7 linked regions of the Xenopus tropicalis genome follow. The protein of the gene in region 6 purifies or fractionates together with the protein of the main gene of each other region. This does not show direct contact. Links are inferred from orthologs where the notes say so. Each region holds a gene or a part of one and is shown on either strand. Other genes may lie near its edges. The genes, in order: prpf8, sf3b5, ccdc97, phf5a, snrpb2, sf3b6 and sf3b2.

Region 1 (4,311 bases), on a different chromosome or scaffold from region 6:
TTTATCAATAAAAGAGTATAAGAGGAGTTTGGTTTCATGTTTAATTTAAAAAAGGACTTAAAAAGCTCAAGAATAGACTTAAATATATGTGTTTGTCCCCTATAAAGTCTACAGGAAAAAATCAAATTGAATTTAGATAATCTTATCGGATCTAGACTCAGACTTACACTCTACGGGACAGAGTTGAGTTAGTTTTAAGCACTGCCCCTTTAACAGCTTCTGCTATGGCCAAGGAGAGGGAGTTATGCTGAGAATTGTTCAGCAAGAATGCTTGCAGTTACCGGTTGTGAGAGTGCTGGATCATTAGTTAGGTGCAAGGGAGAGTCTGGATTCTGGTCCAGTGTATGTGGCCTGGAAATGGAGCCTGTCTCATTGTTGACATCTTGAATATTTCGCTGCTTGTCTGCACAGCATGACTCAGTAAGGGTGCAACTTTCCTGAGCTTCAGAGAGAATAGAAGTGGCTATTCATAGGCCTATAAAAGCTGTTGTCTAGGCCCCTCCAGTTGGGTTTGCGGAGCATCTTTCTTGAGGCATCACATGATGAATGTCCAGTATTCCATATTATCTTAACCAAAGCTACATGCTGGACCACTGTTGCCCATGAGCTGTAGTAGGCGAGAGAGCTGAAGAATGGAATCAGTAAGGGACCATAACATTGTAAGTGTAATTAACTGTGGGAAACCCATTTACTCCACACATTGACAACAGCCATGTAAAGACTTGCTGGTGGGGTGTGAATAACTAACCGGAAGATCAAAATGGGAGAACTAGGTATTAAATGGAAAACAAATGCCACTGTGTGAACAAATATTTATTAAAAAAAAAAAAAAAGAAATCAATATCGGTAAATACAGAGCCTAAAGGCTTCCACAGATATTAACAATGAAGTTGTTCAAACAATTGCTACACAGATGCAGCAGGAAAAAACTGGACAAAATATGAAGTGAAGCAAAGCACTAATAGCCTCACGAGGAACGACTAAGAGGTGTCTGCTGTCAATAGGGGCTCAATCACTTAATGTTGAATATCAACCGTGACCCAAGCCCTTGGGAATATTCTTATAGAAGATTTATGCATACAGATCTTCCCGGTCAGCCGAATACACCTCACCCTCCTGCAGCAGAGCAAAGTTTAGGAAATGCGATGGCCGGTGTACTTCATGGTAAAACTCCTTCGGGTTGGCCAGCTGTAACTCATATTTCATGTTTGGGTCATGTCTCACACCTAAAAGAAAATGTAACACAAACTTAAGAAACAAAGTTAAAAAGTCCTAAACCATTGCTGTGCACTCCCTATACAAAGGCAGTTATTAGCAAGATAAATGGGGGTTCCTGGCATTCCTATGAACTTACAAAGCAATACTTAGTTAGCCAAGATTATCCCAAATAGTGTACAGGACACAAAAGTGTACAGTGGGTTTCTAATGGCTTCCCTATTCACATACAACTTCTTGTTTCAACACCTTTCACAAGCAACCTGCTGATTGGTTACTGTGACAACTTTGCACTTCTAAGCTTCGGCAAACAATGAAAACTAGAATATTTAACTTCACAGAATGTTCTACAAAAACGGACAGCAGATTCCCCCAGAATAGGAAAGCCAGCACATGGGTATATCTCCTCCTGATTTTTTTGAAAAATTTTGTATAATCGCAAAAAGCACAAGCTATAGAACCCAAAGCACAAAACACATTAGCAGAGAGTAAATAATGGGCCATAAAGGACTGAGGGACCTTTGCTGTTAAATTATAATTACTTGTTTAAATGCTCTAAATTTTTTTAATTAATGAAACTGCTATATAATGTAAATAAGTTATGTTTAGGCCTATAGCAAAGGACTATGCACATGATAGACAGTTTTCACTTATATTTGATATGTTTACTAAAACAAGGGGGCCCGAATGGGGAAAAAACAAAACAAAAAGGATTTGCAAGAAAAGTTCAATAAACAGTACTCTGACCAAATGATGGCACCTACACCATCTAATAAACATAAGAGCCCAAACCAGTTGATCGACTTTGCTTATAATAAAATATCAGAGACAGAAGTAAGAATAGCAGTGTTGAATATATGATAGAATTCATACCCATGAAGTTGTAGTTCCAGGACGCTTGTGCTGGCACCATGAAGAACCCAAGGAAGCGATCAGACAGCAGCATCTGGACCCTCTCATAATGCGATGGCAAGTAGCCCTTGGGATTGTTTCCTTTATCTGTGTTTTGCCGTCCCCATTCATAACCACTGGGAGTCAGTTTATAAGCGGTTAACGTGCATGAACCTGGAGTAAAGCTGAGAACACAGACAGCATTACATTTCAAGCTTATTACCAAACACATTCATTTCCAGCAGTATTTGTCCTTTAGCTTTCTATTTAGCACTAGTAAGATTACAGGAAACATCAGCATGCTGCCTGTGCATATGGTGCAGTAACGGAATAGACTGAGCACTAGATGCAGCTGCCAGATTTTAAAAAGACTTACTTTTCTATCTCTTCCCCACTTAACCTACTAACTTTCACTACCCAATTAACTACAGCCAGTTAGAAATGTGTTTTAACCATGACAAAAGGAAAATGTACAAAACCAATATGTTACCATACTTAAAAGCTTACAATGTACACAAGAAGTACACAACAAATTTGTTGATTGCTTTATTTCTTTCTAAAAAACTAATAATTTCAAATGAAAAAAACAAAGGATATGGCACTGCATTTAGCATATGTACTTACCTGCAAGTAATGATTATGGTTTTCTCTCCATCCCAGGCAGGATTGTCAGCCATTACTTTGGCATGGGTGGTGACATCTTGAGGTGACAACTGTGGGGACTCATTTGGCTGAGTGTGAACCCATCCTAATGGCTCCATTTCCTAGAGAGTGAAAGAAAGCGATTTAAATATGGCTGCGGCAAGAAAGCAAAACAAACAAACAAACAAACAAACAAAAGGTTACAGTGCTACCTTAAGGTATTCATGTTGGGGCAGCTGGCTTGGCAGGTGGACAGTTTGATGAGTTCCCCACTGGGGCACCATAACAATGCAACGGATTTCCTTCACTTGGGGATTATCTGGGGGGCTCACACCATACAGGTAACCAGCAATCTAGAATAGGAATCACGGAAGAGAACGTTCAGATAAATATCGATAAGCCCAGACTGAATTTCTTTTGCTTGAAATCTCCACTGAAGCAGTTTAATAGCAAGACACCATGAGGTTTACTAACCTGTGCTCTAAGATCAGAGATGCAAATGAATTTCTTAAGCACATTTTTGGGCAATATGTAGGTGTATCCAGTTTCCTTAATGTCATCAGACGATACATAGATGTGATTGGTTCGGAGGTGAAGGTTGGCAGCAGATATTGCTCTGTAAATAACAAAGATCTTACTGTATTTGTCTTAAGAACTAGAAACTTCACTAGTGATCTATGGAAGAGGAAGTTTGCTAAAGAGAGCAGCTTTCTCCGTATAGGTTCCTGTGCCCTCCAGTTGCATTATAAATGGAACCCAACCCTTGCTAACATACCTGACTCGCCACTCAGTCTTTGAAGAGAACGTCTGTGTTTCGTAGTTGCTGGTGGTAGATGTGATAATCTCATCTCCGTGTTTGTTGACAGTGCGCGTCTGAGTAGCAGTGAGCTGAGACTGTTCTTTTGTTTGCTTTTCAATTTCTGCAATCTGCTGCCTTTGCTGGGATGGAGCAGAAATTTCCATACCCAGAATGATGTCTCTGATTTCAGACTGTGTCAGTGAGGCCACATTTACGCTATAATTTAAAATGAAAATGGATCAGAAAAAAGGAGGTAATAAGATGACACCAACCATAGTGTGTGGGTGCTAAGGACATGTGTCGTGTAACATGTTTGCTGTAAAAAGTTTAACTATTACACACATATATACATAAAAACAAGGGTATCTGTTTCCAATAAGATGAAGTATGGCTAATTTACAGAATACACTTCAAGACCCTTAGAGGGGCCATTAACCTCTTATGGTGCTCTGGGTTATTGGCCAAGGAAATTATGTGCCTAAACTGCTTATGCCCCACAGGGTGGGATAGCGCTACTTTCATCTGGAGCTACACAAAAAGAGTCCTTGAACTTCAGCTTGATATGAAATATAGGTCTTACTTGTTCTTCTTTCCATAATCTGCTAAAATCAAATCCTTTAGCTGAACTTCAACCTTAATCCATTCCTCATCTGTCAGTGTGGGCCAGATATGATGGGGCTCTGTGACAGTGGTCTTGTCAGGTTTCAAGATCACTTTTGCACGGTCATTGTTGACATGTAAGGCTCTTAGAATTAAAATTAATC
Region 2 (3,238 bases), about 88 Mb from region 6:
TAGTGGGATGCCATGGACACAGGGCTGAGCAAACCCCTCAACTGAAGCTTCTGGTAAACAACAAAACCCCTATTACTAAGTCAATAATTTATATTACCAGGCATCCCAACGTTTGAGCATGCACAGTAGAGTTAGATCTGGTGCACAAGTATATAGGTGGCCATACACGCTGTGATCGAATTATAACAACGGCATACGCGCAGTCTGACCGAGGACAGCAAAGTTGTCATTATGATGAACAGTTACAGTTCAATAACATCTGATCATTGGTGACGTAAACATTTAGTAACCCTGTTTATATTAAAACATTGTTATACTTACTTCTGCTATAGTTCCAGAGATATTGATATTAATCCCCAAATGCAGTGTCTTCCAGTCACAGTTTTAAATGTAGGGTATTTAAGTGGTGGTTTACCATTAAATTAACTTTTAGTATGGTATTAAATGCCCTATTCCCAGCAACTTTGCAATTGATTTTCATATTTTTTTTTTTTTTAAATTACATGCTTTTCTCTTCTGCCTCTTTCCGTCTTTAAAATGGGGTCACTAACACTGCCAGACAAAAACCATTGATCTGTGTGGCAATGGTTGGTTTTTTTTCCCCTGTCTATGCAGGCTTTCTCCTATTCATATTCCAGTTCAAACCACTGCCTAGGGTAAATAATAGCAACCAGATAGATGTAAGAATATGAAAACTGAAAGCAACTCAACAAAAAGCTATATAAAAAAAAACAATTATGAAGCCTAATTGCAACTGACCCTAGGGTTGCTGGCTACTAAAAGCACCCTGACTACGTTTACCTTTTCCAGTTTTTTTTTTTTTTTTGGGTGGGGGGGGGGATGGGCAGCTAGATTCTCTTCAAGAACACCAAACATAGCACCCTGACAATAACATTTTACATACTTATTAATCTAATAAGTGAACCACAGTGAACAATTAAAAAACTAACAAGGGTATGTTGTACAAGGATTCAACAAGAGTTGATTGTTTTATTACAAGTGATAAGCAGTTGAAAGAAAAGCCTAGATTAGTCGTACAAGGATTTCGAAGAGACTTCAGGCAAATGCACAAACGTCCTCAAAGTACTTTATCACGGACTCCTGGAATTCAGAAACTCCATTTAGAATTAGCACAGTCCTGCTTTATGATACACGCCTGTTGATTAGGCGGGAATCTCTTGCTTAAGTCCCGGAAACTTTAAGACGAACGGCGATAAGTTTGATCGACTCCAAGAACTCCATAACAGGCAGCCTCAGAGAAGAAACCATCGCCACGCTTAAGAGTCGTCGGGCTTATCAGCTGGGGGCCCACACGGCTGCAGCATCTTCTCCATCAGGTTAAAACGTACCCGTGCTTTACTTTCGTTCTCAGCCACGGCAAAGTAATTGAGCAGATCAAAGTGGCCCATGTAGGAGCAGTAAGAGTCTCTGTGCTGGTTCACCAGCCACTCCCACTTAGTAGTATCCGCATGGCCCGTGCCGATATACTTGGACTGCAGATGCTCCAGTTGGCTGTGAATAGTATATCGGTCTGTCATGGCGATGGCAAGCGCTAACAGCAAGCTCACTGTACACGACTTGGTGTTATGATATGCAGCGGTAGCGCCTTTGGCTTCCGGAGGACAAAAGAAGTCAGCGTGTTACAGCAGCCGGAAGTTACGTTGCTTCCGGGAGTGACCAATATATCGACGCCGACTAAAATAAATAAAGTTTCGTAATTTTGTAGTGTTTTGCTCATTTTCGCTTCAGCGATTGGCCCGCCTATTTCAAGCGAAATCGAAACTCCCTGCATGCTCAGTTGTGGGACACAGGGAGAGAACAGGCGGAAAGCTGTATGGAAAAATATAAAGTGGTTGCAGTTGGGTCAATTCTATAGGAATAAACCATTTTTTGAATAGTAACCTCCGCAACATGTTAACACATGAAACAATACCCAGCGGCATATAGATTACTCGCCTTCCAACCTTTACCTTTAAAGTGATAATATCCGTGATTTTAGCACACAGTCTTGCGATTTATTAAAGTTATATAAAGGCAAGGGTTCAATGTCCCCTCTAATTTCTTCTCAGTTATGTACACAAAAAATATTTTGTGCGCACAGTTTTTAATTTTTTGCATTCAGCATGTGTTTGTAAATGCATACATTAAAGTGATGTTAGAGCCCTAAGGGAGCAACTAAGACACTACCCATTTTAGACATGTAAACTTTGGCAGTATAAGGGCATTTCTGGCACATAATAACTTGGAGAGGCTTTTCACAGGGTTAAACACCGAAGGGTTAAATTGACCTATCAGTATATTCCTCTTGTAACAAGCAAAGATCTATTAAAGAAAAATTATTTTTGCTTGAAAGAAAAAGTTAGAACTGAAGTAGGTAATAAATGTGCTTTAAAGTAATTCAAGCTTGTTGAATCATTTTAGGTCTGTTACACATGGGGGAAATTTGTGCGTTTGATCAAAGTAAGTTGTGCCTGCGTAAGGCAGCATTCTTCATTGCATGAACTTTGTAGTGCACATGAGCTGTTTGCAGATGTAAATGTCACTGATGATGTCAGAAGGAAAATGGCTGCCAGGTAAAAGACACTATTTGCTTTAGGGATATGTAATGGTGCTGACAAACACAGGGGATATATGCAGTACAAATGGAGTTGTTTGGGTGCCCAACTTATATATATATGGTAGGAAAATGTATGGTTTACATGTCCTTTAAATTGCACAAGTGGAAAGTAGGCAAGCAATATTGTTAACAAACTAAATAAAGTAATAAAATAAAAAAAAGAAAAAGGAAAGGAAAAGGAGAAAAAAAATTACCTTAAAATCTGAGGAAAATAGCTCAACAGTAAAGAGTTCTGCTAAAATTTGCAGAAATTAAAGTTGCGCCTTTTCTGAGATTTACTGTTTCAAAATGACTAAAAATACAAATCTAAGAATTTCCAGTTAAACTTGCCAAGATCATGTAGAAGTCAATGGCAGATGTCCGTTGAGACAGGTGCCCCATGCCAGTAGCGGGGACTGACTGTTTATGTATATAGTTTTACTTCAGTTGCAGTCAGTACAAGGTATTTATAAATAGATCCAGCATTGTGTCATGATGGCTATCCTCAGAGCGAAGGGGTCTGTGAATTCCAACAGCCAATGGAGGCCAATAAGAGGAACTCAAGAAAAGAAACCGGTGACTGGGGACTTGCCAGTTGAAGTTTTCAGTTAGGAGTTTTTCTAGTTTAAATAAAGAAGTTAT
Region 3 (4,659 bases), on a different chromosome or scaffold from region 6:
TGGAATATAGCACAGAAACAGGAAGGCACTTGACAGAGAGCGAAAGATGATGTGTGTTGCTCAATCCATACCTGTAGTCAAAATCTCGATCCTTTCCATCTAGAAATCTCTGGTGCATGCGACTGATGAATTCTTCCCTCATCAGTGCTCTTTCTTCACTGTTCACTGAGCACTCTTCATCAGACTCTATTTCACTCTCTAACAGACAAGTGAGGGATCAGTATTAGGAAGTAAAGGATTTATATATATATATATATATCTCTATTTTATTTTTTAATGGTTTCATTTTACAATGTATGAGAAAACATTTTAACGCAATCCTCATGGACTTGTGGTTAACTTGGGCACTAACTTTTGGCTAGAAATCTACAGAGATGTGACACTGTGTCTGACTATGAATATTTTTAGACAGTGCTATACAGCACTGTGCAAAAAGATTACATATACCTTTTTATAGACTAAGATAGTCATAGATTAATTCCCATTTTTTGGAAGTGGCATCTGAGTTAAAGCCAGCTCTGACTTGAGAACAGTGTATTCCTTATCTAAGCACATCCTACTGGGTAGTTCACCTTAAAGTTAACTTTTAAAATGGTGTAGTCAATGAAGTTTTTTGAATGAATCTGTAAAATGTCTTATAAAAGGTTGTTCACCTTTTGCAAAGTCCTACCAAAGTAGCTGTAGTGCTTAGAGCTACAGCTGTCATAGCTAAAGTTATTTGTCTGTTTTCCCTTTACTGTTGATCTCTGCAAGAGAGCTTAACCCAGAGGTTTGGTAAGTGCAATCTTTACTCTTTCATATAATATGAAACTTTCTGCCAAATAAATATGTTTAGAAAAGTATTTCTTTTGCAAAATCCTTATTTATTCACCCTTATCTGAAGGCAATCTCCCCAATTAAAGGCAAATAATGTTCTAATGGTACAAAAAGAAACTGAAAATGGACATTATTATTATTATTAATAAAGTACAGCTCTATGTACTCACCCACACATTGAATATACCAGAAAAAAAATTAACACAACCACAAATTCATCCTTGTGGTCAAGTAAATAATAAAATTTATAAAATGAGTTTACTCAGACAGGCACTGTTCTTTAATACACAAAAATACATACAAACTTGTTTAGGCTAGGGTGTGTTTTAGTAGTCAGAACACTGACCTTCCTCATCTTCATCCTCTTCTTCCTCCATGCAGCTCTCTTCCAGCTCTCTCTGAGCCTTCAGCCTACACTGAAGGGCCTGTTCCTGGCATGAATTAAGAAGAACAGTGGAGAGGCTGGTGGCTTCAGACATGTCCTTGCTGTTCTGGGACATTATCTCCTCCTCACTCTGGTATTGCCCCACATAATGCTCATACATAAGAGGGTCCCGTTCCCGCATCTGCTCATCACTGAAATATTCACCCGCTGAATAAAAAATGCACAAAAACAAGTGAAATTAAAAAGCATTTTTATGCTAATAAACATTTTCATTTCATTATATTCACATCACTATATATGAAGCCTACCTTCCAAAATCAAATACTACACTAAGTAATTATCCTATACAACTAAAAAACTATACTGGTAAGTCATCATACAAGGCTAAATAGAATAGTAAGTGGTCCCCAAGAAAAGTAAAAACAACAATTTTGGGATTACCCACCCACAAGGGCAATTCTGCCCCCCACTGCACCTTTCTGAAAACTGCACGTTACAGTATGGGCAAAAATACTTAAATTACAAAGTCTTGAAATCTCCTGCTCTGAGCCAGTTAAATGTCACACACATTGTTGTGTGACTCAACCAGCTCAGCACAGGCAATTTTAAAAACCCTTTTAATTTAAAAGTATTTGGGGGCGTTTTGCCAGTTACAGGGAGCTTGATGTCCCTATTACCATTATAAAAATTTACATTATCTTACCCGTGATTAGCTTCTGGAGTGCTGCATACCTCTTGTTTCGGACCCGAGTGTGATCAACCCTTTTGAGGGATGCTTTGCAAATCTCTTTGCAATAGTAATCTGCTGTGTAATCCCCAGAAAGGTGGTTGAAGCACTCTAGGTGTTCCTCTTTAAGGACCTTACGAAAACGCTCCAGGAAGATTAGAGGTTTGGATTCATAAAGTTCAAGAAGCATCGTCAACTTTTGCTCTTGGCTAAATTCTGGCTCCCCCTTCTGCTGGCTTCTGATCTGCACATTACTGTTGCTGATAGCCATAAACATATCCAAAAGAATTCCTTCAAGCTGTGTTGGATCTTGTTGAACAGGACCTTCACGACAACCCAATCGTTTGGCTTCCTTCAGTGCTTTTTCCAAAACTTCACTATCCTCACTCTGCTTGTTCTTGGACAAATACTCACTTTCATGAACTCCGAGGTCCCCCACTATGGCTTTATCTTCCTCCAACACATTCATATTATGCTCTGTGATATCTATTGATGAAAATGACAATATTTAGATACGGGGCAGCAATTACATACTTAAGTTCAAACAAGGGATTTTGTACCAGTTTATTTTCTGCTCATAATCCATTGCAGGAGGAAGGGCACTTGCATTGAAACAAAACTTTAGCAAGCTCCCTCCTTCACATTCCTCTGGTAAGTTTTTGAGCAATAAAAGCAAGTAGAAATCCCAGCTGCAAATCCAGCTGATGGAACTGAGTTTATAAACATAAAAGAAGAGATTTCAAGATGCATCATGTTATCATAATTCAAACTATTGACACCTTGTGCAAGACAACCAAACCTGGCAGTACAGTGGCTGCTTATTTATTCACACAAAATAAATGACGTATAAACCTTTATTGTAGAAGCTTTGGAGATAAGCAATTCAGAAAGTCTTATGGAAAATGTATTATACCATCGGGAAGGGCCGCCATTGGGAAGGACAGGAGGGCCAGTCGTCCCGTGCTTTGGGTGTTATGGGGTGCCGGCTATGCTACATTTACGGGCCCCCTGTTGTCACTGATCTGCAAACTTTAGGAAGGGGGAAGTTGCTAGAACGCCTGCATGTTTTTTCCCCTGTACAGCTTCTATGCCGCCCAATAGTCCCACTTTTCCTAACACGGCCACAGTCCAGGAACGTAACCCACAGCTCCCTCAAAATGATTAACTGCAGCCTTCCACTCTCCTGTTTCACAGAAAATCCCGAAGTCACACATCTCATCACGCGAGACTGGCGCTGCGACTACGCGAAAGCGTAATGACGTAACCTTACCCCTTACGCCTTGTGGGAGAGGCGGGGCCGCGTAACTCAGTGTTACAGTGACAGAAGCTGCAGTTATATTGTGGTAGCTGTCTAGTTATTCTCTGCATGTACCTCCTAATTCTTTAAGGGAACTGTAATATAAAAAAGAGTGTTTTTTGCCATGCCCCTTGCCATTTAAGTTCCCAATTGTCTTGTCTTTTATATTTTCTGCTTGTAGTTACAATATATTTTTCCTGGTTGCTCAGAGTACCCTGCTGAAGTTAGAGGCTTTACTCAACAATTTAACCAAAATGTCTTATTTCCAGCAATGTAGCAATTGGTCTTCATTATTTATGTGTTATAGTTTTTTAATGATTTGCCTTCCTCTTTAGTCACTGACATTTGTAGCCATAACACTATTGCTTTCTGAGCTTACAATTTTCCAAATGTCCCAGAAGCAATTTTATTTTTTTATTCAAACACACATGGGTAGATTGTGTTACACAGCAGCAGTAAATACAAATACCTCCCAACAGTGCTACTTTTCTTTACACAACTCCGCAGTCCTGGATCGCTGTTTAAATGTCCTGCAACACTGCTGCAACATCCAGCTTCTTAGCTCTTTTCAGAAGTCACAACTATTAATTTGCAAGACTGTGACATTACATAGCCGCTTTGCGGAAGTAAAGAGCAAGGATAGGATGTGTCAGCATCACAAAAGTTTATGTATAAGATGCTAGCATTACTCTGAGCTTGGCAGGTTTTGGGCATCTGCTCAAACTTTTTTTTTCAACTTCAGTGAAAAGAAAGACTTTTGTTTGTGATTGTTGCCAGCCATGCCAGCTGCCACCAAAGCCTCAGCTCCCAATATTTGTTCAAAACAAATTGATCAACTAACTCAATGCGGTCCCCGAACTGACTGTGCCTATTACCAGCATTCTAATTCGATTGTTTGGCCCCAGGGCCAAACGACCGATTTAGCCTAAATGCACACGATATCGTCCACCCCTAGGTTGCCAATGATACCTGCAGGAAGCTATCACATCCTACTCTCCTGCTGACCAAAAAGGAAAAAGTTTTATGCAAACTAAAGATAAGTGAGATTAATAAAACTTTAGGTTTCTTGTATCTGAGTGACTTTTTGCAAACAAAAGGCAATGGGTATCTTTGCCCAATGGTATTCTTGACTGTTTAGGCTTTGTTTAGAGTGCCATCAATACTGTATGTTTTTTGTACAAACAACTACCATTTGATTTGTCACAATTTAGAGACAGAACAAGAGTTATTTGAGGTGCAACTGACAAAAAGTAATAAGGTACTCTTTATTTACACTGGTTCTTACTCTTGTGCAGGTTCCTTGTCAGTTCTGCAGCTACAAAAATTCATTGGTTAAGACCTGTGCTGGTAAGGGTTTTACCCTGTTGACAACAGTTACTCATAATAGACTGCTACTGTTAATTTGAGTTCTGGCCCCATCGGGCATTTCTGGCC
Region 4 (4,888 bases), on a different chromosome or scaffold from region 6:
TAATTTAAAAAGGCAATGATTTGCACCCCATACCATGCTGTGATATATAGGTAATGAAAGACTAAAGGTCCCCATACACGGGCCGATAGTAGCTGCCGATATCAGTCCCTTGGGCCGATTCAGCAGCTAATTGGCCCGTGTAAGCGCACTCCCAACAGGCCTGCCCGACCGATATCTGGCCTCAAATTGGCCAGATCTCGATGGGGCAGGTTAGAAAATCTAGTTGGATCGTGGACCGCATCGGCTCATTGATGCAGTCCCCGGACCGACTTTTCCTATACCTGCTGTTATAATTCGATCATTTGGCCCCAGGGATCGAATTACCCTGGATTCTCCCGATATCGCCCACCCATAGGTGGGGGATATCGGGAGAAGATCCGCTCGCTTGGCGACATCGCCAAGCGAGCGGATCTTATGGTGTATGAGGACCTTAAGTCTAACCTTACATGCACCCCACAACTACACACACTTTTAAACAGACTGTAAATTCTTGATTTTCCCCACTCAGCAGATGTTAAGCAATGTCATTTTTTTAATAATGTCTAATGTAATACAACTGCTGAATATAGAATATATAATCAGATATATCAGAGATATCAGATATAGGACTGGCAGCAACACTTAAAAACCATTGCTTGTTGAGAAATAATCAGTTGCACAAAGAAGACAAAGGTGAAACATTTTTTGCATATGAACAAATGCAATTTATATTTTAAAAGTTTAAGAATTATATATACTCACATTTTTCACAGAGTCTTCCAATAGCTGCAATAGAAAATTATAAATGTAAGTGTTTATATATATATATATATATATATATATATATATATATATATATATATTAAACAGTGGTCATCATGTTGTACACATATCTTAAATATCTAAAATGCTTTAAAGGACATGTAAAACAAACAAAAATGTAATCAGTGAACAGCCTCATTGAAATCTTTAAATACCTGCCACTCCTGTTGTTCAAACGGTTAATAGAAAGGCTGCAGTATCCCCTTAATCACTTAGGATTTCTTTTCCTCCTCTAACCCGCTCTGCCCCATCCCTTATGAATTGACTTCGGCTGGTGGCTAACGAGCATGCTCAGTTCTTCTTAACTCAGGTTACCAAACACAGCCTCCAGTCTAGCAGCCAATGAAGAGATCACTGCTGGTTTCCCTAGAAACGCTGCTCTCGCTGTGTAATCTGCTGGAGCTCAGTTTACGGTTACAGGGCACAATCCAAGCAGGACTTCTTGTTAAAGTAACTTTAATATGTGCAATTTACAGATGTTAAAGGAAAAGGAAAGGCTAAGTCACTTGGGGGTGTCAAAACGTTAGGCACCCCCAAGTGACTTTAATTGCTTTCCTTTTACCCCGGGCTGGTGCCCCTGTTAGGAGAAAAACGCACCAGCCTGGGGTAGCTGCGAGTGTGGTCTCCTCTTCTTTCTTTGCGCACTTGCGCAGTAGAGTGAAAAGCCAAACTTTAACAAAAAAGTCGGCTTTTCACTCTACTGCACATGCACCGGCCCAGGGATTTTGATGAGAAGGAAGAGGAGACACTTGCTCACAGCTACCCAGTGCTGGTGCGGTTTTCTCCTAACAGGGGCACCACACAGGGTAAAAAGTAAGCGATTAAAGCCACGTGGGGCTGCCTAACATTTTTTTCTCCTTTAATGTCACTAAAGATGTGCGAGAGAGAATATGGCCACCGGGTAAAGCTGCTATTTGCTTTAGGAAAATGTGATGGTTTTGGCAAACAGAGGGGTTATATGCAGTACAAATGGTAAAGTTTGGTTGGGGGGGGGGGTATGTGCCAACTTATATACGTGGTAGGAAGATAAATGGTTTACATGTCCTTTGAAAGCTGTAGTAAAGACTAGCTTTACTAGCTCCAACAACTTGCCAGTACAAACATGAAATTAATTTATAAATTCAGTAAGGCATTAATTAACCTCAAATGGTATTGGCTGGAACTGTTTCAGTATTGTATGTACCGACGTATCATTGCATGTATAGTATCAGATTACCAGGAGGTCCACAACAATGAAAGCCCTAAGCTTTAGAATTCATTATCTGTTATGTTAAATACAATGTAGCTTTAGAAAAAGGAAAACATTAAAAAAAAATAAAAAATACAAATCTGTGTTTCTATAGCACGCTGTTTTTTTGCCATTACACAGGTCACAGAGTAATCTCACCCATTCGATGCACCTAAACATTGTGTTTTGTCATTTTCCCTCACATTCATAACATAAGAAATTCATGTTGGAAAGCACTTCAATAGTAACATTACTGTGCAGATCACCTCTGTAATTATAATAATCAACATTTCCCTTAAATAAGAAGTTAGGTTTCTCTGCAGATTTCTGCAAATATAGGACAAGTTCTGTTGCATGAGTTTAAATAGGAAAGTCAGATTGTGCTTTAGTAGAATTGCAATAATCAAGGAGTTAGCATTCAGCGTATAACTAGATCAGGTTCAAGCTCCACCTCTCAAACTACAATCTGAAACATAAATATACATAACAATTATAAAACTGAAGTATTGTGGATAACAAATAAAAGAGGGTTAATGAAGCCCTGTGAGGGAACACATATACCTGTTACATACGCATACAAGGAGAGTATACACAAGTACCGAACGTGCTATCCGAATGATTTAGAAAGGCAATCAATAGAAACGGCCAATCTATAATGCCTACGAGAGGAGAGTTTTCTGTCCTCAGTTTTACACCGTTACACCGAACACATTACCCAGCGCAACTCACCCACGCCCGCCTGTTTTCTGCAAAAAATCAAATCTGGATGATGCTTCGCCATGTCTGTTTAAATTCCTTTCCTTCGCCGGCCGCGCGTTCACTCCAGTTCTGTGTTCCAAGCCTCTTTCTCGCCCATGGACTTTACGTCATTTCCTTGCTGTTACGCCTAGGAAACTTAGCTTGTGGGTTCCAATTGGTTAAAGAATCGCTTAGACGCTTCTCTTCCTTCTTGTGCGATGAACTTTTACACCGGATATCCTGTTAATAGGCGTTTCGCTTTATAAAAGATTTGCGTTTTTTCGGCCCCATAGTACTGTTTCCTTTAAAGGGGCAGTCTACAGCTAAACATACTTTGCCAAAAATAAAGTACAATAAAGAAAATGCAATTAAAATATATTCTATGGGGCAGATTTATCGAAGTACGATGTTCATACGTTTAAAAAGCATGATACAAAAAAAATCGTATCAAATACGTTTTTTTGTATCATGCTTTTTGAAGTACGAAAAATTTGTATTTAAGAATATAATAAAATCGGATCTTTACGATATATATATTTATATTTGAACAGTCGTAAAATGTGGGAAAATCTTTCTGACTTTGATCCTTCTGTGCATGATTTTGGAAGCCTCCCATAGGACTCAATGGCACTCTGCAGCTCCAACCTGGCCCAAGGAAAGTCTCCCATAGGGCTCAATGGCACTCTGCAGCTCCAACCCGGCCCAAGGAAAGTCTCCCATAGGGCTCAATGGCACTCTGCAGCTCCAACCTGGCCCAAGGAAAGTCTCCCATAGGGCTCAATGGCACTCTGCAGCTCCAACCCGGCCCAAGGAAAGTCTCCCATAGGGCTCAATGGCACTCTGCAGCTCCAACCTGGCCCAAGGAAAGTCTCCCATAGGGCTCAATGGCACTCTGCAGCTCCAACCCGGCCCAAGGAAAGTCTCCCATAGGACTCAATGGCACTCTGCAGCTCCAACCCGGCCCAAGGAAAGTCTCCCATAGGGCTCAATGGCACTCTGCAGCTCCAACCCAGCCCAAGGAAAGTCTCCCATAGGGCTCAATAGCACTCTGCAGCTCCAACCTGGCCCAAGGAAAGTCTCCCATAGGGCTCAATGGCACTCTGCAGCTCCAACCTGGCCCAAGGAAAGTCTCCCATAGGGCTCAATGGCACTCTGCAGCTCCAACCTGGCCCAAGGAAAGTCTCCCATAGGGCTCAATGGCACTCTGCAGCTCCAACCTGGCCCAAGGAAAGTCTCCCATAGGGCTCAATGGCACTCTGCAGCTCCAACCTGGCCCAAGGAAAGTCTCCCATAGGGCTCAATGGCACTCTGCAGCTCCAACCTGGCCCAAGGCAAGTCTCCCATAGGGCTCAATGGCACTCTGCAGCTCCAACCTGGCCCAAGGAAAGTCTCCCATAGGGCTCAATGGCACTCTGCAGCTCCAACCTGGCCCAAGGCAAGTCTCCCATAGGGCTCAATGGCACTCTGCAGCTCCAACCTGGCCCAAGGAAAGTCTCCCATAGGGCTCAATGGCACTCTGCAGCTCCAACCTGGCCCAAGGAAAGTCTCCCATAGGGCTCAATGGCACTCTGCAGCTCCAACCCGGCCAAGGAAAGTCTCCCATAGGGCTCAATGGCACTCTGCAGCTCCAACCTGGCCCAAGGAAAGTCTCCCATAGGGCTCAATGGCACTCTGCAGCTCCAACCCGGCCCAAGGAAAGTCTCCCATAGGGCTCAATGGCACTCTGCAGCTCCAACCCGGCCCAAGGAAAGTCTCCCATAGGGCTCAATGGCACTCTGCAGCTCCAACCTGGCCCAAGGAAAGTCTCCCATAGGGCTCAATGGCACTCTGCAGCTCCAATCTGGCCCAAGGAAAGTCTCCCATAGGGCTCAATGGCACTCTGCAGCTCCAACCTGGCCCAAGGAAAGTCTTCCATAGGGCTCAATGGCACTCTGCAGCTCCAACCTGGCCCAAGGAAAGTCTCCCATAGGGCTCAATGGCACTCTGCAGCTCCAACCTGGCCCAAGGAAAGTCTTCCATAGGGCTCAATGGCACTCTGCAGCTCCAACCTGGCCCAAGGAAAGTCTCCCATAGGGCTCAATGGCACTCTGCAGCTCCAACCCGGCCCAAGGAAAGTCTCCC
Region 5 (4,941 bases), about 120 Mb from region 6:
ATTTGAGCCATATATCTGTTATTTTGTCTCAATTAGTTATTCTGAGCAGGTTTACTGTGCAAGGGCTGGCAGAGTGGAGCAATTTCTATTATCCAAACCTTCATTTGTCCCTAGTTAAACTACAGTTTTATGCTTAATTATAAAAAAAAATATATATACATCTTTCAGTAAGTTTAGAACAGTTATATAAAGTTTTCTATACAGAGTGAGGTAAATCATAAAAATTCCTGGATGAGGAATAACTTACCATTGGTTTATTATAAAAAGGGAAACCCTGCAACTGCCGCAGAGCATTTGTAGCAGAACTCAGCTCTTTGAAGATTACAAACGCTTGTCCTCTCATTTTCATGGTCTTTAATGCCACAATGTCTACAACATGGCCAAACTGGGAGAATAGCGCATACAATGATCGCTTTAGTTCTGAAAAGAAAAAAAAAAAAAAAAACTTCACAGTATAAGTATAAAAACATGTATGGTTAAATCTCTTGCACGGATTTTGATAAGGTGAAAATAGAATATCAGTATTAGTTATTACATTTATTACTAAAACCAGTGCCATGGGATATTCTGCACAAGAAGCTTTTCTGTGCATATTAGTGATTATACAAATGACTGGGTGCGGCCGTGATTGCACATGTTGCCGACACTCTCTCCTTTCGTATTGCTTGCTGATTGCAGTGGTGCACATTTTAACTGAAGCACCTAGGCAGGCACCATCCTCAATAAAAAAAAAACATCTAAAATGATAAGAAATCGTTACTGATGGCCTTTTTACCTACTTGCTGCCATCAAATGCTAAGCACTGGTGAGCACTAGATCAATAAACAGCAATAATATCTAGGGCAAGAAGCATAATAAATAGCAGAAGAATAGTAGTATATGAAATGGAAAAAGTAGACTTCTGAGCAGATTTTTTTTTAAGTTAGTTTTACACTTTTAAAGCTTGAAGGATATTTAAGTTTGTTTGTTTTTCTTCATTTCTCTGCAGTTTTTACTATTTAGGGGAATACAAAGGATATAGGAGAGTAAAAAATGCCTTCACAGATAACAGCATAAGGAGTTGCAATACCAATGCTGCTGTCTAGATGTAAAGTGTACTCTGCCAGGAAAGACTGTATAGAGTGTAGACTGAGAGTGTATAATATTCAACATTTAAACGCTCCTCACACTTACCCGGTTTTTTTACTTTATCACAGAGGTTGTTGATGTAGACAGTGTGATTTGGCCGAATATCCATGGCTTGTATATTCTAAATACTGAAAGAGATGTTAAAAAAAAAAAAAAGGACCTTAGATATAGAAAAAAAGTACAGTATTACTCAAGGTTCTTTTCTCCTTGGAGATGGACTACTGTGCCACACACACATTTTTACCAGTGAGCCACATCCAAATGTAAAAAGAGCTGGGGAACAACACAAGCATGAAAAAAAAAAAAAAATTCCTTCTGGTGCCAAAAAAAGGCTGTTATTACCTCTTTGGTATTCCTTACGTGGACTGGCAGCCTAAAGGGACTCTGTTGGGCAGTACATCTGGTTTTTATGCAACCAAAACTCCAAGCCAGGAATTCAAAAATAAGCACCTGCTTTGGGGCCATTGGGAGCAACATGTTGCTTATGAGCCACTCATTGGGAATCACTTCCCTAGAGTAAAGCAATAATTTTCAAAAGCCAGGCACACTGTAATATTACCAAAACTAACCCGCCATGATATTGCACATTAGACAAGCCTGCGAACCACATCTGTCAGACCCACTTTCAGATCAGAATATTATTATTGTATATAACATGTGCCATGAAATTCCAACTGAATTCAACCTACATAAATCTATACATAAAACCAAATACATGCTTGTACAGGTATGAGATCTGTTATCTGGAAACCCATTATCCAGTTTATTAAAATAATTCACTATTTGAAAATATACTAAATTGTTCTCTGTTGTAATAAAACAGTACCTTGTACTTGTTCCCAACTAAATTATTTTTTTAGTAGACTTAAGGCATGGAGATCCAAATTATATAAAGACCCCTTATCTGGAAAAGCCCAGGGGTCCCATGCCTGTAATAGTATAATGCATGCTTTTAAATTGAATTTCTTTTTATAGCCTACAATTTCAGCAACACAGATAAGACTATAAGGCATAGCCCGGCATATTTTTCAATAAATATGAAATATACAGACTACTACAAAATAACATCCCATTATTAAAAACATGTAACTGCTGGATTTAGTAGTACAGGTATGGGACCTGTTATCCAGAATGCTCGGGACCTGGGGTTTTCTGGATAAGGGATATTTCCGTAATTTGGATCTCCATCACTTAACTCTGTTAAAAGTCATTTTAATATTGAATAAACCCAATAAGATTTTTTGCCTCCAATAAGGATTAATTATATCTTAGTTGGGATCAAGTACAGGTACTGTTTTATTATTACAGAGAAAAGGGAATCATTTAACCATTAAATAAACCCAATAGGGCTGTTCTGCCCCAATAAGGGGTAATTATATCTTAGTTGGGATCAAGTACAAGGTACTGTTTTATTATTACAGAGAAAAAGGAAATCATTTTATAAAATTAAAATGATTTGCTTATAATGGGGTCTAAGTGAGATGGCCTTTCCGTAATTCAGAACTTTCTGGATAATGGATCCCATACCTGTAGTATTATGATTTAGTCACTGCACTTTTCTCCCATACCCAACAATATACAGGCAAACTAGCCTGCCCCTGTGTATATTAGTGTGTGTATAATACACAATTATAAGCTTTAGTGCAGCTCTTTCCCAGCCATACACTGGCGACCCCCAGTCGCACACAGATCAGGGACAGCTCTATTGATTGGTTGCAATGTATGGAAACTGATTGCAGTTACAAATCAATCAATACCATTAATTACCACACGAAGTTGCCCCTTAACCGAGTTACAGCTACATATAAACCCGCACTACAGGCGCGTTTTATTCCAATAGCAACAGAACGGGCAGGAGTTGGACGTGGCTGCTGGGGAAGTTGTTGCTCATTACCCGCTGCCAGCTTCTCACCAAGCGAAGGAGCGGAACGTATAGAACTATTACCAAAAGAAACCCTCGTACAATGACAAACAAGCCCGGCAATCACCCATACAAGCTCCTTCCTTACCGCTCACACACGCTTCCGTGCGCCTTACGGCTCCAAGCTGGCGTCGCACGTTGATTTCCAGCAAACGCGCATTAGAACAGGAAAGAGACGTACGTCACGGCTCCGAGGTCACTTCGGCCATCTTTCGTAAGGGCAAAACCGCCTTCGCATAATTGATCATAAAGTTATTTTCTTTGACGTTTTGTACATTCCCAGGTTGCGACTAGAGTGTCATATAATAAACAACTGTTTTTGTCTTTCCGCCAAAATTTTAAGCACCTGTGTAATACAGTGGAACGGCGGTATTCATTATTAAATTATGGCAGGGAACGTTAGGGCAATACGTGGGGGTCAGGGCTGTTTTAAATTCATTTGGGAAGCAACAATAGTACAAATTTTACCTCATCTATAGTAACTTATGGCACCATTTCACCTGTATAAAATCAAACATGTATTGCTTGCTCTCTAGGTTACTGCAGCTGGGTAAATGTCCTTTATATTACATCTTGAGAAGAGGTGCACAAAACAAGCACACCAGAGCTGTTAACCAACCCCATGATAATGATCCACTCCATGCCTTTTTGAGTCCTTATTTCATGTTATCATATAGGGGCCCATTCATTTTTTTAGAAAAAAAAATAGCATTTTTCTATAGAACATTTCGGAATGTCCACAATAATTTCGCTCACATTCCACGACTTTTTTGTGATTTGCACTAACTTCGTATTTTTCGCAAAGACTACAACCATTTCGGGATTCATTCAACCTTTGGTATCGTGACTATCTTTTGGCCAGGTTGGAGCTGCAGAGTGCCATTGAGTCTTATGGAAGGCTTCCCAAAATCATGCATTGAAGGTTACAAAGCCAGAAAGGTTTTCACGCCATTTATGAACGTTCGGATCCGAAAATTTTGTGACTTTCGTAATGCAACCACAATATTTTGTTAGATGTGTCAGTGACATTGCACATACTCAGTGGGCTCTGGGCAGCTGTTGAGAAGCAAAGCTTAGGGGTTGTCAGAAATCAGAAAGCAGAAAATAAGGTTCTCCTGTTATTGAAGCTGATGCTACAGGGTTTATTATTAAATTCTGGAGCAAACTGTATTCCTTTCATGTAATAAAAATCTGGTTTAACAACTTATCAGCATTGTATTATGGCTTTTATCAGCATTTGCACCCCACATCTTTGTTAAGCTTTAGTTCTTTTTTGACCCCAATACAAGTGACAATTCTTTTACCAATATCTACTGTATTTTAGAGTCTACTCTAGCTCTAAAAATATATACAGTGTAACTACACAGCACTTTGGAGGGGCCTAGTCCACACTTTAACCCCATACTGATCCCCCACTCACCTGCATACATCCCCCACTCTCCACCACTCACTCTCACGTAGGAGAGCAGCCAGTGAGTGGGGATCTCCTTACACCTAAAGAGAAAGTAGACCATGTGGTCTGGGGCCCTTGTCTCCTGGACCCACCCCTGCAACTGTGGGGTCTGCTTCCTATATATTTACACCACTGGGGGTGCCAGTATAGATTTTGCAATTTAAAAAAGGCTGGAGGGCCTGACCTATAGAGAGATAACAAATGTTGCACATTAAAATTCCTTTGCGCTTTTTAACTACACCCAATCAGTTTTCACTTTAACACCCATTGCATTTTGTAGTTCTGCAATCTCCAGTATGTGTTTGTATCTCCCACAGCGGTCATCTAGATTCAGGGTCCTCACAGCAGGTTTTCTGCCTGATAAATGATATAAAGAAGACCACATGCTGCTGAGATCTCTAATACAACCGTTTTTGCACACACTTGGTGAAGCCCAACA
Region 6 (4,638 bases):
CACGGGCCGATAGTAGCTGCCGATATGGGTCCCTTGGACCGATTCGGCAGCTAATGGGCCCGTTTATGGGCAGAACCGAGCAGCCTGGCCGACCGATATCTGGCCTGAAATTGGCCAGATCTCGATCGGGCAGGTTAGAAAATCCGGTCGGATCGGGGACCGCATCGGCTCGTTGATGCGGTCCTTGAACCGACTGCCCCATGGCCGCAAATGTAATTCGATCGTTTGCTACCCGATATCGCCCACCCGTAGGTGGGATATCGGGTGAAGATCCGCTCGGTTGGCGACATCGCCAAGCGAGCGGATCTTAAAGTGTATGGGGACCTTAAGTGGTTATTTATTCCTCTAGTTTGCACTTATCCTTATTTGCCCCAATAAAAGGAGGGCGTGAATACAGGGAACTCAAAAGAAACCACCCACTCCCACAACCCCCAGACGAATGCAAATGCTTACCCTGTTGGCGTTGTAATACAACACAACCAGGTATCTGTTACAGACGTTGAAACCGGAGAGATGATCACAGGCGTTCTTGGCATCAAATATGTCTTCGTAGACCACATACGCCGTGCCCCTGGTTTCTGGCGTGTTCCCACTGCAAAGAGAGGAGCTGTAAGACTTCACGCTAACAACAAAATTCACAAGACAGACAACTTCTGGAACAGTTCAGAAACACCAGAGCAACACACGGAGCAGACACTGCATTTTTGGAAACTTCCTTAGAATTAGATTTCCTTTTATAGGGCAAAATGACAATTATAGGCTTTGGAAAACATTACATCATTATATTATTCGGCAGAAAACCATGGTCCAGGGAACAAGCAATCACTATATACGTAATAACATATATAGGAAGCCATATTTGCATTGGACACTCAGCACTGTAGGATAGGAACCAATCAGCAGCTAGGCTGACCCGACAGGGAATTGAAGCCTGTCTTTGCTTGTGTGACTGCAAGGCTGTGATTGGCTATCCCCCATTTACTGTGCTTCTGGCAGGGACCTTTAGGACATGCCCACCCCTCATTTGAAACACAGACAGGGACCTGAGAGGATCTATAGGGAGCTCCAATAAAGGTGCCAATTTTTACAGATAGGATTATTTTTTAACAAAGTGAAACCAGCACCAGATATTATTCATAATTGCCCCCAAGATTAGAGTTTTTTTCATCTATCCAATATGTCTTCTTTAAGAATGAGTCTACAATGCTAAACAACTGTTCAGTTGAAAAACAAACCTTTTCCATCCGGTTATGTTTGTCACTGTAATATTCGCAGAAAAAGGATTACTTACACCCTGATCTGTCGAATGGGTCCATATTTGCCAAATATATCGTACATTTCCTCCCCAGTAATTTTATAGGGCAAGTTTCGAATGTATAAAATTCTGTTTACTTCTGGTGGTAAGCGTATCTGTAAAACAGAAGGGAAGGAGTTGTATTAATATCAGTTAGTGTGACATTTACACACACAGGATAAAGCACTAATGATATAAAAACATGCACAAATAAATCACAGAGCAAAGCAGCATCAGACAAGTCACGGAATAAAAAAGTATCTCTTAAGAAGTTATTGCCCACAAACAGCATAAATCAGAAACTATCACTAAGACAATACAGTTCTCAGTGGGTGCACACAGGCAACGAGACAGTGGCCCTCAGGCTGGGCCCCCTTAGCCCATAACAAGGTTACAGATATATAGAAACATTGGGGTAACAGTCACCCCGCTATAGTTCCAGGGGTACCCAGGGCACAAATAAGCACTCACCCCAAATCCCCCCCTAACTGGCCTTCAGGCTGGGCCCCCTTAGCCCATAACAAGGTTACAGATATATAGAAACATTGGGGTAACAGTCACCCTGCTATAGTTCCAGGGGTACCCAGGGCACAAATAAGCACTCACCCCAAATCCCCCCCTAACTGGCCTTCAGGCTGGGCCCCCTTAGCCCATAACAAGGTTACAGATATATAGAAACATTGGGGTAACAGTCACCCTGCTATAGTTCCAGGGGTACCCAGGGCACAAATAAGCACTCACCCCAAATCCCCCCCTAACTGGCCTTCAGGCTGGGCCCCCTTAGCCCATAACAAGGTTACAGATATATAGAAACATTGGGGTAATAGTCACCCTGCTATAGTTCCAGGGGTACCCAGGGCACAAATAAGCACTCACCCCAAATCCCCCCCTAACTGGCCTTCAGGCTGGGCCCCCTTAGCCCATAACAAGGTTACAGATATATAGAAACATTGGGGTAATAGTCACCCTGCTATAGTTCCAGGGGTACCCAGGGCACAAATAAGCACTCACCCCAAATCCCCCCCTAACTGGCCTTCAGGCTGGGCCCCCTTAGCCCATAACAAGGTTACAGATATATAGAAACATTGGGGTAACAGTCACCCTGCTATAGTTCCAGGGGTACCCAGGGCACAAATAAGCACTCACCCCAAATCCCCCCCTAACTGGCCTTCAGGCTGGGCCCCCTTAGCCCATAACAAGGTTACAGATATATAGAAACATTGGGGTAACAGTCACCCTGCTATAGTTCCAGGGGTACCCAGGGCACAAATAAGCACTCACCCCAAATCCCCCCCTAACTGGCCTTCAGGCTGGGCCCCCTTAGCCCATAACAAGGTTACAGATATATAGAAACATTGGGGTAATAGTCACCCTGCTATAGTTCCAGGGGTACCCAGGGCACAAATAAGCACTCACCCCAAATCCCCCCCTAACTGGCCTTCAGGCTGGGCCCCCTTAGCCCATAACAAGGTTACAGATATATAGAAACATTGGGGTAACAGTCACCCCGCTATAGTTCCAGGGGTACCCAGGGCACAAATAAGCACTCACCCCAAATCTCCCCCTAACTGGCCTTCAGGCTGGGCCCCCTTAGCCCATAACAAGGTTACAGATATATAGAAACATTGGGGTAACACACATAGTAAAGTCACGGCTGAAGGGAAAGCTGCGGTAGAACTAACCCCACAGAGCCAATCGCAGCACAGCCCGCAGTACACAGAACAAGCGCTGCGGTATCCGGGGTAGAAGCAGCAGTACCCCATAGCCCTTATGAGCAGAGCATGATAGCCGTATCGGGGCGCCCCACAAACCCCCAAAGCCTGACACTCACATTGGCGCGTTTGGCCGCTTGCATAGCCATGGTGCCGCTGAATAAGAAACCTTTCCCAGACGCGATAAAAACAATCCGCTTTCCAACACCACACGCACAAACCGGAACAGGAAGTCTGAGTGTGACGTAATGGCAACTTCTCTTACTGAGATAGGCTGATTCGTCCTCCTGAAGTCACGTGTCCTTTGGTAGTTACAGCGCTGGCGCACTGTAGCACTGTAGAGCGCCCTCTGGGGGCAGCAAGTGGACGCACACACAGCTCCCCATGCACAGTTTCAGCTTCCAATTTACACCCCTGACATCACCCAATCCCGATTGATATATAAACGAGGCTTGATCAGATAATGATTGGAGCAGGGGATATTCTATTAAGCTGGAGACCTGATCATAAGTGGCCAAGTAACCGGCCAGTATCTGCCCATGTGGGCCCTTATAGTCTGGCATAAATGATGGGGTTTCTCTTTGAGGCAGAGGAACACCTCTCTCATTTAGCAGAAACTTGTCTCCATGCCCAGACTGGGATTCAAATAGGTCTGGAATTTAAAGTCCACAGAGGCCCAAACAGCCCCCCCAGCCCAATAAATAGTGACTATGGCATCTTATAGCAGCCCCTCTGGCATTTGCCTGAACCCACAGATGTGTCACTATGTTACTTTAATAATGTGTGTAGTGCCCTTCTTTCTCCCCAACACTCCCTGTAGTTCAGGGATCCTCAATAACCCAGAACTTTTGGAAATGACCCTTTTTCTCCATACCTGGTATCCAAATGCAAATCTGCACAGCAGGGCCAAGGGACACCATTTTTGGCTCCTTCACTTCCCTGGCAGTGATTGCTGGGCAGGAGCTTGCACTTTAGAAGCCAGTCTGTTCCTTGTTTCCAATGTGTATGCTCTTACTAAATGCCTAAGCAAGTAGTAGCCTAAACCAGGCTCACCCAATCTTTGTTTTCATTTTATAACTGGTAGTAGACAGAATTAACTAATTCCTGATTATGGGCAACTGCACTGATGTTATTAAATAAGCCTTACAATCTGCCTGCTTGGTGCACTTTTTCTGCTATAACCTGCTGTATAAAGTATGTGCAATACTTTACTTATGGCAAAGCTGTAATGCAGCCTTGTGAAGTCCATAAGGTGGCGCCGTTGTCTCCACAACACTGAATCTTGAATCCAGCAAGGTAAGTTTGAGTATGTTGTTGTGTTCTAATCACAGAGACATCTATTTTGAATGCTAAAAGACCTATGGAATGAACCCCCAGATAATTCCCTTTCTTGCTGAATATAACATTTCTGCCATAAACCAAAGAAGGACTGGCGAAAAGGAAAATATGTGGCCACATGAGTTCCAAGAAATATGTTTTTCACACACACACAAAAATGCACAAAAATTACAGCAGGTAAAAGATATTTTTTTAGGGACTATTTATTCTGATGATAATGTCTTTTTAATTCATGATATGTGTGACCCTCTTTACCTACTTTATTCTACCCAATAAGCAAATGAACATACAGCA
Region 7 (4,188 bases), on a different chromosome or scaffold from region 6:
GCTCCCTTCAACAGAAACAATATCCATTTTGATTGTTAAACAGGAGTGTGTACTGGACCATTAAACTGAAATTTACATTTTCATTTATTTAAATTTGTTGTGAAGTAAATGATTTGCATGAAAGTAGTAGCATATTTCCACATGAAAATTGGACCCATATGATGCAAATCCAGATAAGAGAATATGTTTGGAAAAGGAAGCTGTGGAAGAAGAAGCCATAAAAGGGCAATAGATAAATACATACCTGGAAATCTGAGGCATTGGTCCCAAACACATCACCATAAAGAGGTTTTCCCATTTCATCCACAGGGGGTTTTCCCCAACCTCCAGCATGATATCCAAAGGAACAGCCCTGTGGGAATGAATTAAAAAAAAAGTGAATAGTGAGAAAGGATGTGGAAAAAAGGTAGAAACAACAAAAACAGTAGAAAAGGAAAAAGACGCATACAGCTGAGTGAGAAAAGAAATGACTTACCTCTGGTATGGGGGAGTTAAGCCCTGGTATTTTAAGGTTGGGGTAAGAGGGGGGTGGTCCATATCTTTGCATTGCAATAAGCCAGGGAGGGGGCACTTTATGGGCATTCTGAGGAACAAAAAAGAAAACTGAGTACTGTTTTATGCATATTACTATCCCATACAATAAATATTAACCCCATGGACAAGAATGTTTTGAAATATAAGTATACTTAACTATCTTATCTATATTGTAAATGGCACATAAAATGAACAAGGATGTTATCAGCATGGACACTATATATACATACCAGCCACTCAAACAGCCCTAAATGAATGCATGGTGAAATGAAACATGTAGCATGAGAGCACTATGGCAATGAGTATGAGAATATGTTTTTTCAAATTAAAGCTACTTTATTGTCTATATTACTAAACCTTGGCATTTCTCATTATGGCACAAAAAAAATGTCAGGGATAAATTGAACTCACTGGACCCACAGGCATTCCTAGCGTAATCCTTAGCTCATCAGAGAGATCACCTGGTTTTTTCTCCTTCAGGCGGGTCTCAAACTCCTTCCCCTGTGAGTTAGTAAAAAAAAAAAAAAAAAAAAAAAAAAAGAAACAAAAACACGTGGAATGTTGATTAAGACTGCTCGCTGTATACACAGCATAATAAAATTTTGTATGATAGAATTTTACACACATTTATGGTATTTCCTATGAAAAAAATTAGCACACCATTTACACCCAATATCTTACCAGCTAGTTTAACGAGTATCAGTGAGTATCAGTGGGTATCAGTGGGTATCAGTCCCCCCCCCCCCACAAACACACACAACTTACCTCATAATATAAATCTCCATGAATAGTAAGCTTGGGTTTGCTCTGCCATTTGAAAAACGCATCATGCAACTTTTGATAGTCAATGTCAATTTTTCCCATCTTCGGCCTCACCTTCTCCCTCATTTTAGATTTCATGGTTTTTTGCTCTTCCTAGGGCGAAAAAAATATAAAACAATGTAATACATAAATACGTAATAGGATGCAGTTCTAAATGTGCTGCTTTGCTGAAGGTGACCTAGCTATCTTACTGTAACTGCTACCCACTTATTATTTAGTAATACCATTGCTAAATGATTTTTAAATGTCAAAATACAAACAATTTTATTAAGTAGAGTGGTCTGTTCACTTAACTACCTTTACCATAAACACCACCAAAAAGTTACCTAATTTGCTGTTTTTTTTTTTTTTTTTACCATTTCCTACCTTTTCCTGTAGTGCTTCCCTCATCTCCTGTATGCCTGTTCTCTTGATGAAATCAGGGAGTTGGAAAGGAGGTTTTTCAATACCCCTTTTTCCTTGAAGATATTTTCGTTTGAAACACCAGTGACGTGGAACAGGGACCGAATTTCGAGTTCCTTTTAGATGAACTAGTAGTTTGGGATCTGGAGCAGTGACATCGTGCATTTCTACCACATCTGGTCGTGATACCAACTGATATGAGAAAGATGGATTAGTGAGGAAGATACCAGAGGGCACTAAGAAATTCACACAGGCAACAATTTTAATGTTGAAAAAATGTTCCTGGGATAAACTAATTTTCCCTTTTTACAAATGTTTCATACAAAACAGCAAATATACCAAATCTATCAAGACAAGGTATCATGTTGTATGATAAACATAGTGGTTCATTAATGCATAATACATTATATAGACGTTATTGTGCCAGGATCTGGTGTTTGCTCTTCCCCACAGCTACTTTTCTTGGTTTTTGAATTTAACAGAGCAGATTTAATAAGGGTGGAGCTGCTATCAATTGTCTTATACCACAATTACAGAACTGAGTGAACTTTTCTTCAGTAATGCAGAAACTAACTAATTAAAAGCACTAAATTGAAATAACAGTTTGTTTTGAAATTCCATGCATTCATTATCCCTCCTTACACCCATCAGCCCTTACCTGTTTTAGTTCGGCTACTGTAAATCTGTTCATTCTTCTCAATTTTTTTTTAGACAATTTGGGAGCATCTTGCTTTTTATCCTAGTAATACAATTAGAAAAAGTGTGTTACACATCATAGGAAACCATAATATGAGCAACACAAGATTTAAGCACAATCTGAACAGGAAGCAGTTAAGCAAATACAGGTGTTTCTAAGATAGAGCAAGGCTATTCTGTATGTGAGAATAATAACAGTTCTTCATGTTTGCAAAACTGTATAAACAGTTTTCTAATCTGTAATCTGTTATGTTAGCTATACCCATTTATATCAATTATAGCTAAAAAACAGGATTAGTATAAGCACTTGCTAAGAACTGTACACATATTAACATAAAGAGTGCAATTTTCACCTCTTCATCACTGTCGCTGTCATTGTCCATCTGTTCCTCCTCAAATCGTTTTCTCGGAGCTGCTGGTTCAATTTTCTCCACCTTTTCAGGCTCCTTCTCTTTCTCCCGTTTCACATCATCTGTCAGCTGTATAATTTAAAAATGTTAGTAACTGGAGGACTGCGTGCCCCAAGCCTTCAGGGCTTTTATATAGTGGCTCAAATAAGCTAGATAGTCATAGGTAACATAAAAAGGAACCCACCAAAGTGGGTCCTACATGAACAAGCACACCATGGTAGAAGCTTTGCAAGACCTATAAGTGAAATAATTACCCTTTCATTAATTCAGTTAATAAACTCCCTGAAATTATGGAATATGACCTGTAAAGACATATTCTTACATTCAAACCATCAGCCATAAGGTTAGAATGTGCCTGAAAGATGTCTGGCCACAAACACCTTGCATTTACCTTAAAGGCCTGGAATATTCTCTTGAAGAAGATAAAGTTGGGATCATAGATATCAGGTTCTTCTGTCACATATTCTATCTCCAGTTTTCCACCTGCAAGATCAGGTTCGGCAGCTTCATTAAGCTCATCAACTACTGCAGATTCTGAGCCAACCATTCTCTTACGTGTTCGCTTCTTTCGGTTTCTCCTTCTTCGATTTTTTTTCTTTAGACACAAATCAACAAATATATATATATAAAACCTTCTGCAAACATAATTAATTTGAAAAACACAAACATGGAAACAGACACTGCAGCAGCAAATTCTGCCTTTCTGTAAACAAAAACCTTACAGGTCACTCTTTTGCATATCAGTCTTAAAAAAACTACAAGAGTGAACAGTATTATGAATACACAATAATAACATATAGGAAGTTCAGGCTACTACTATTGCCTGTGTGTGAATCATGCCCTCAGAGGCTTTATGGTAAATTCTTACCAAAACAAATAAAAATTATTTATAATGTTAACAAAACAATATAAATTATACAATATACAAAGACATGTTTGATTTCAGAATAATGTCTGACCTCTTTTTTACTTAGGACATTATTATCCTCTTCTGCCTCTGAAGCTGTATTAACGTAACGGGAGTCTGCATCAATGTCTTCCTCCTCTGAAAAAAAGAAACCAAGTGGTTGAAAAGCAATACCGAAACTACATGCATGTGAATATATAAAGGGAAATTATATATTTTTTATAGTTGAGAATTGCTTGTCTTCTTTTTCTGCCTCTCTCTGGCTTTTGGATGGGGTTCACTGACCTCAGCAGCCTAAAAGCTATTGATTTGTAAGGCTAAAGTTTTATTGTAGTTACTTTTAATTACTTGTCTTTCTATTCATGCCTTCTTCTATTTATCTTCAAGCCTATCACTTACTCCACTGCCTGGTTGCTA

The links.
Region 1: the proteins of sf3b6 (region 6) and prpf8 fractionate together in Homo sapiens (co-fractionation; 3 studies listed by BioGRID, with this or other methods). This does not show direct contact. The link is inferred for Xenopus tropicalis from reciprocal best matches to the Homo sapiens genes SF3B6 and PRPF8.
Region 2: the proteins of sf3b6 (region 6) and sf3b5 fractionate together in Homo sapiens (co-fractionation; 5 studies listed by BioGRID and IntAct, with this or other methods). This does not show direct contact. The link is inferred for Xenopus tropicalis from reciprocal best matches to the Homo sapiens genes SF3B6 and SF3B5.
Region 3: the proteins of sf3b6 (region 6) and ccdc97 purify together in Homo sapiens (affinity purification with mass spectrometry; 3 studies listed by BioGRID and IntAct, counting the BioPlex papers as one, with this or other methods). This does not show direct contact. The link is inferred for Xenopus tropicalis from reciprocal best matches to the Homo sapiens genes SF3B6 and CCDC97.
Region 4: the proteins of sf3b6 (region 6) and phf5a purify together in Homo sapiens (affinity purification with mass spectrometry; 4 studies listed by BioGRID and IntAct, with this or other methods). This does not show direct contact. The link is inferred for Xenopus tropicalis from reciprocal best matches to the Homo sapiens genes SF3B6 and PHF5A.
Region 5: the proteins of sf3b6 (region 6) and snrpb2 purify together in Homo sapiens (affinity purification with mass spectrometry; 4 studies listed by BioGRID and IntAct, with this or other methods). This does not show direct contact. The link is inferred for Xenopus tropicalis from reciprocal best matches to the Homo sapiens genes SF3B6 and SNRPB2.
Region 7: the proteins of sf3b6 (region 6) and sf3b2 fractionate together in Homo sapiens (co-fractionation; 5 studies listed by BioGRID and IntAct, with this or other methods). This does not show direct contact. The link is inferred for Xenopus tropicalis from reciprocal best matches to the Homo sapiens genes SF3B6 and SF3B2.

Annotation. Positions count from the first base shown.
Region 1 is NC_030678.2:45,537,377-45,541,687, reverse strand, and holds the end of prpf8 (pre-mRNA-processing-splicing factor 8), read right to left. Parts: coding exon 4,128-4,311; intron 3,764-4,127; coding exon 3,524-3,763; intron 3,365-3,523; coding exon 3,223-3,364; intron 3,102-3,222; coding exon 2,961-3,101; intron 2,871-2,960; coding exon 2,731-2,870; intron 2,292-2,730; coding exon 2,089-2,291; intron 1,227-2,088; coding exon 1,072-1,226; 3' UTR 796-1,071; downstream 1-795. UniProt on the Homo sapiens protein: Plays a role in pre-mRNA splicing as core component of precatalytic, catalytic and postcatalytic spliceosomal complexes, both of the predominant U2-type spliceosome and the minor U12-type spliceosome.
Region 2 is NC_030681.2:58,017,020-58,020,257, reverse strand, and holds sf3b5 (splicing factor 3B subunit 5), read right to left. Parts: upstream 1,541-3,238; 5' UTR 1,539-1,540; coding exon 1,278-1,538; 3' UTR 963-1,277; downstream 1-962. UniProt on the Homo sapiens protein: Component of the 17S U2 SnRNP complex of the spliceosome, a large ribonucleoprotein complex that removes introns from transcribed pre-mRNAs.
Region 3 is NC_030684.2:79,243,879-79,248,537, reverse strand, and holds the start of ccdc97 (coiled-coil domain-containing protein 97), read right to left. Parts: upstream 3,069-4,659; 5' UTR 2,861-3,068; coding exon 2,842-2,860; exon of another isoform or gene 2,781-2,841; intron 2,415-2,780; coding exon 1,905-2,414; intron 1,409-1,904; coding exon 1,163-1,408; intron 199-1,162; coding exon 72-198; intron 1-71. UniProt on the Homo sapiens protein: May play a role pre-mRNA splicing through the association with the splicing factor SF3B complex which is involved in branch-site recognition.
Region 4 is NC_030680.2:120,350,686-120,355,573, reverse strand, and holds the start of phf5a (PHD finger-like domain-containing protein 5A), read right to left. Parts: upstream 2,945-4,888; 5' UTR 2,811-2,944; coding exon 2,759-2,810; intron 766-2,758; coding exon 742-765; intron 1-741.
Region 5 is NC_030681.2:29,851,847-29,856,787, reverse strand, and holds the start of snrpb2 (U2 small nuclear ribonucleoprotein B''), read right to left. Parts: upstream 3,177-4,941; 5' UTR 3,138-3,176; intron 3,136-3,137; exon of another isoform or gene 2,886-3,135; intron 1,257-2,885; 5' UTR 1,238-1,256; coding exon 1,174-1,237; intron 421-1,173; coding exon 248-420; intron 1-247. UniProt on the Homo sapiens protein: Involved in pre-mRNA splicing as component of the spliceosome. Associated with sn-RNP U2, where it contributes to the binding of stem loop IV of U2 snRNA.
Region 6 is NC_030681.2:145,721,574-145,726,211, forward strand, and holds the start of sf3b6 (splicing factor 3B subunit 6), read right to left. Parts: upstream 3,173-4,638; 5' UTR 3,156-3,172; coding exon 3,126-3,155; intron 1,411-3,125; coding exon 1,292-1,410; intron 593-1,291; coding exon 454-592; intron 1-453.
Region 7 is NC_030680.2:40,085,051-40,089,238, forward strand, and holds part of sf3b2 (splicing factor 3B subunit 2), read right to left. Parts: intron 3,910-4,188; coding exon 3,824-3,909; intron 3,460-3,823; coding exon 3,256-3,459; intron 2,934-3,255; coding exon 2,808-2,933; intron 2,498-2,807; coding exon 2,417-2,497; intron 1,951-2,416; coding exon 1,723-1,950; intron 1,450-1,722; coding exon 1,300-1,449; intron 1,036-1,299; coding exon 946-1,035; intron 584-945; coding exon 476-583; intron 353-475; coding exon 245-352; intron 1-244. UniProt on the Homo sapiens protein: Component of the 17S U2 SnRNP complex of the spliceosome, a large ribonucleoprotein complex that removes introns from transcribed pre-mRNAs.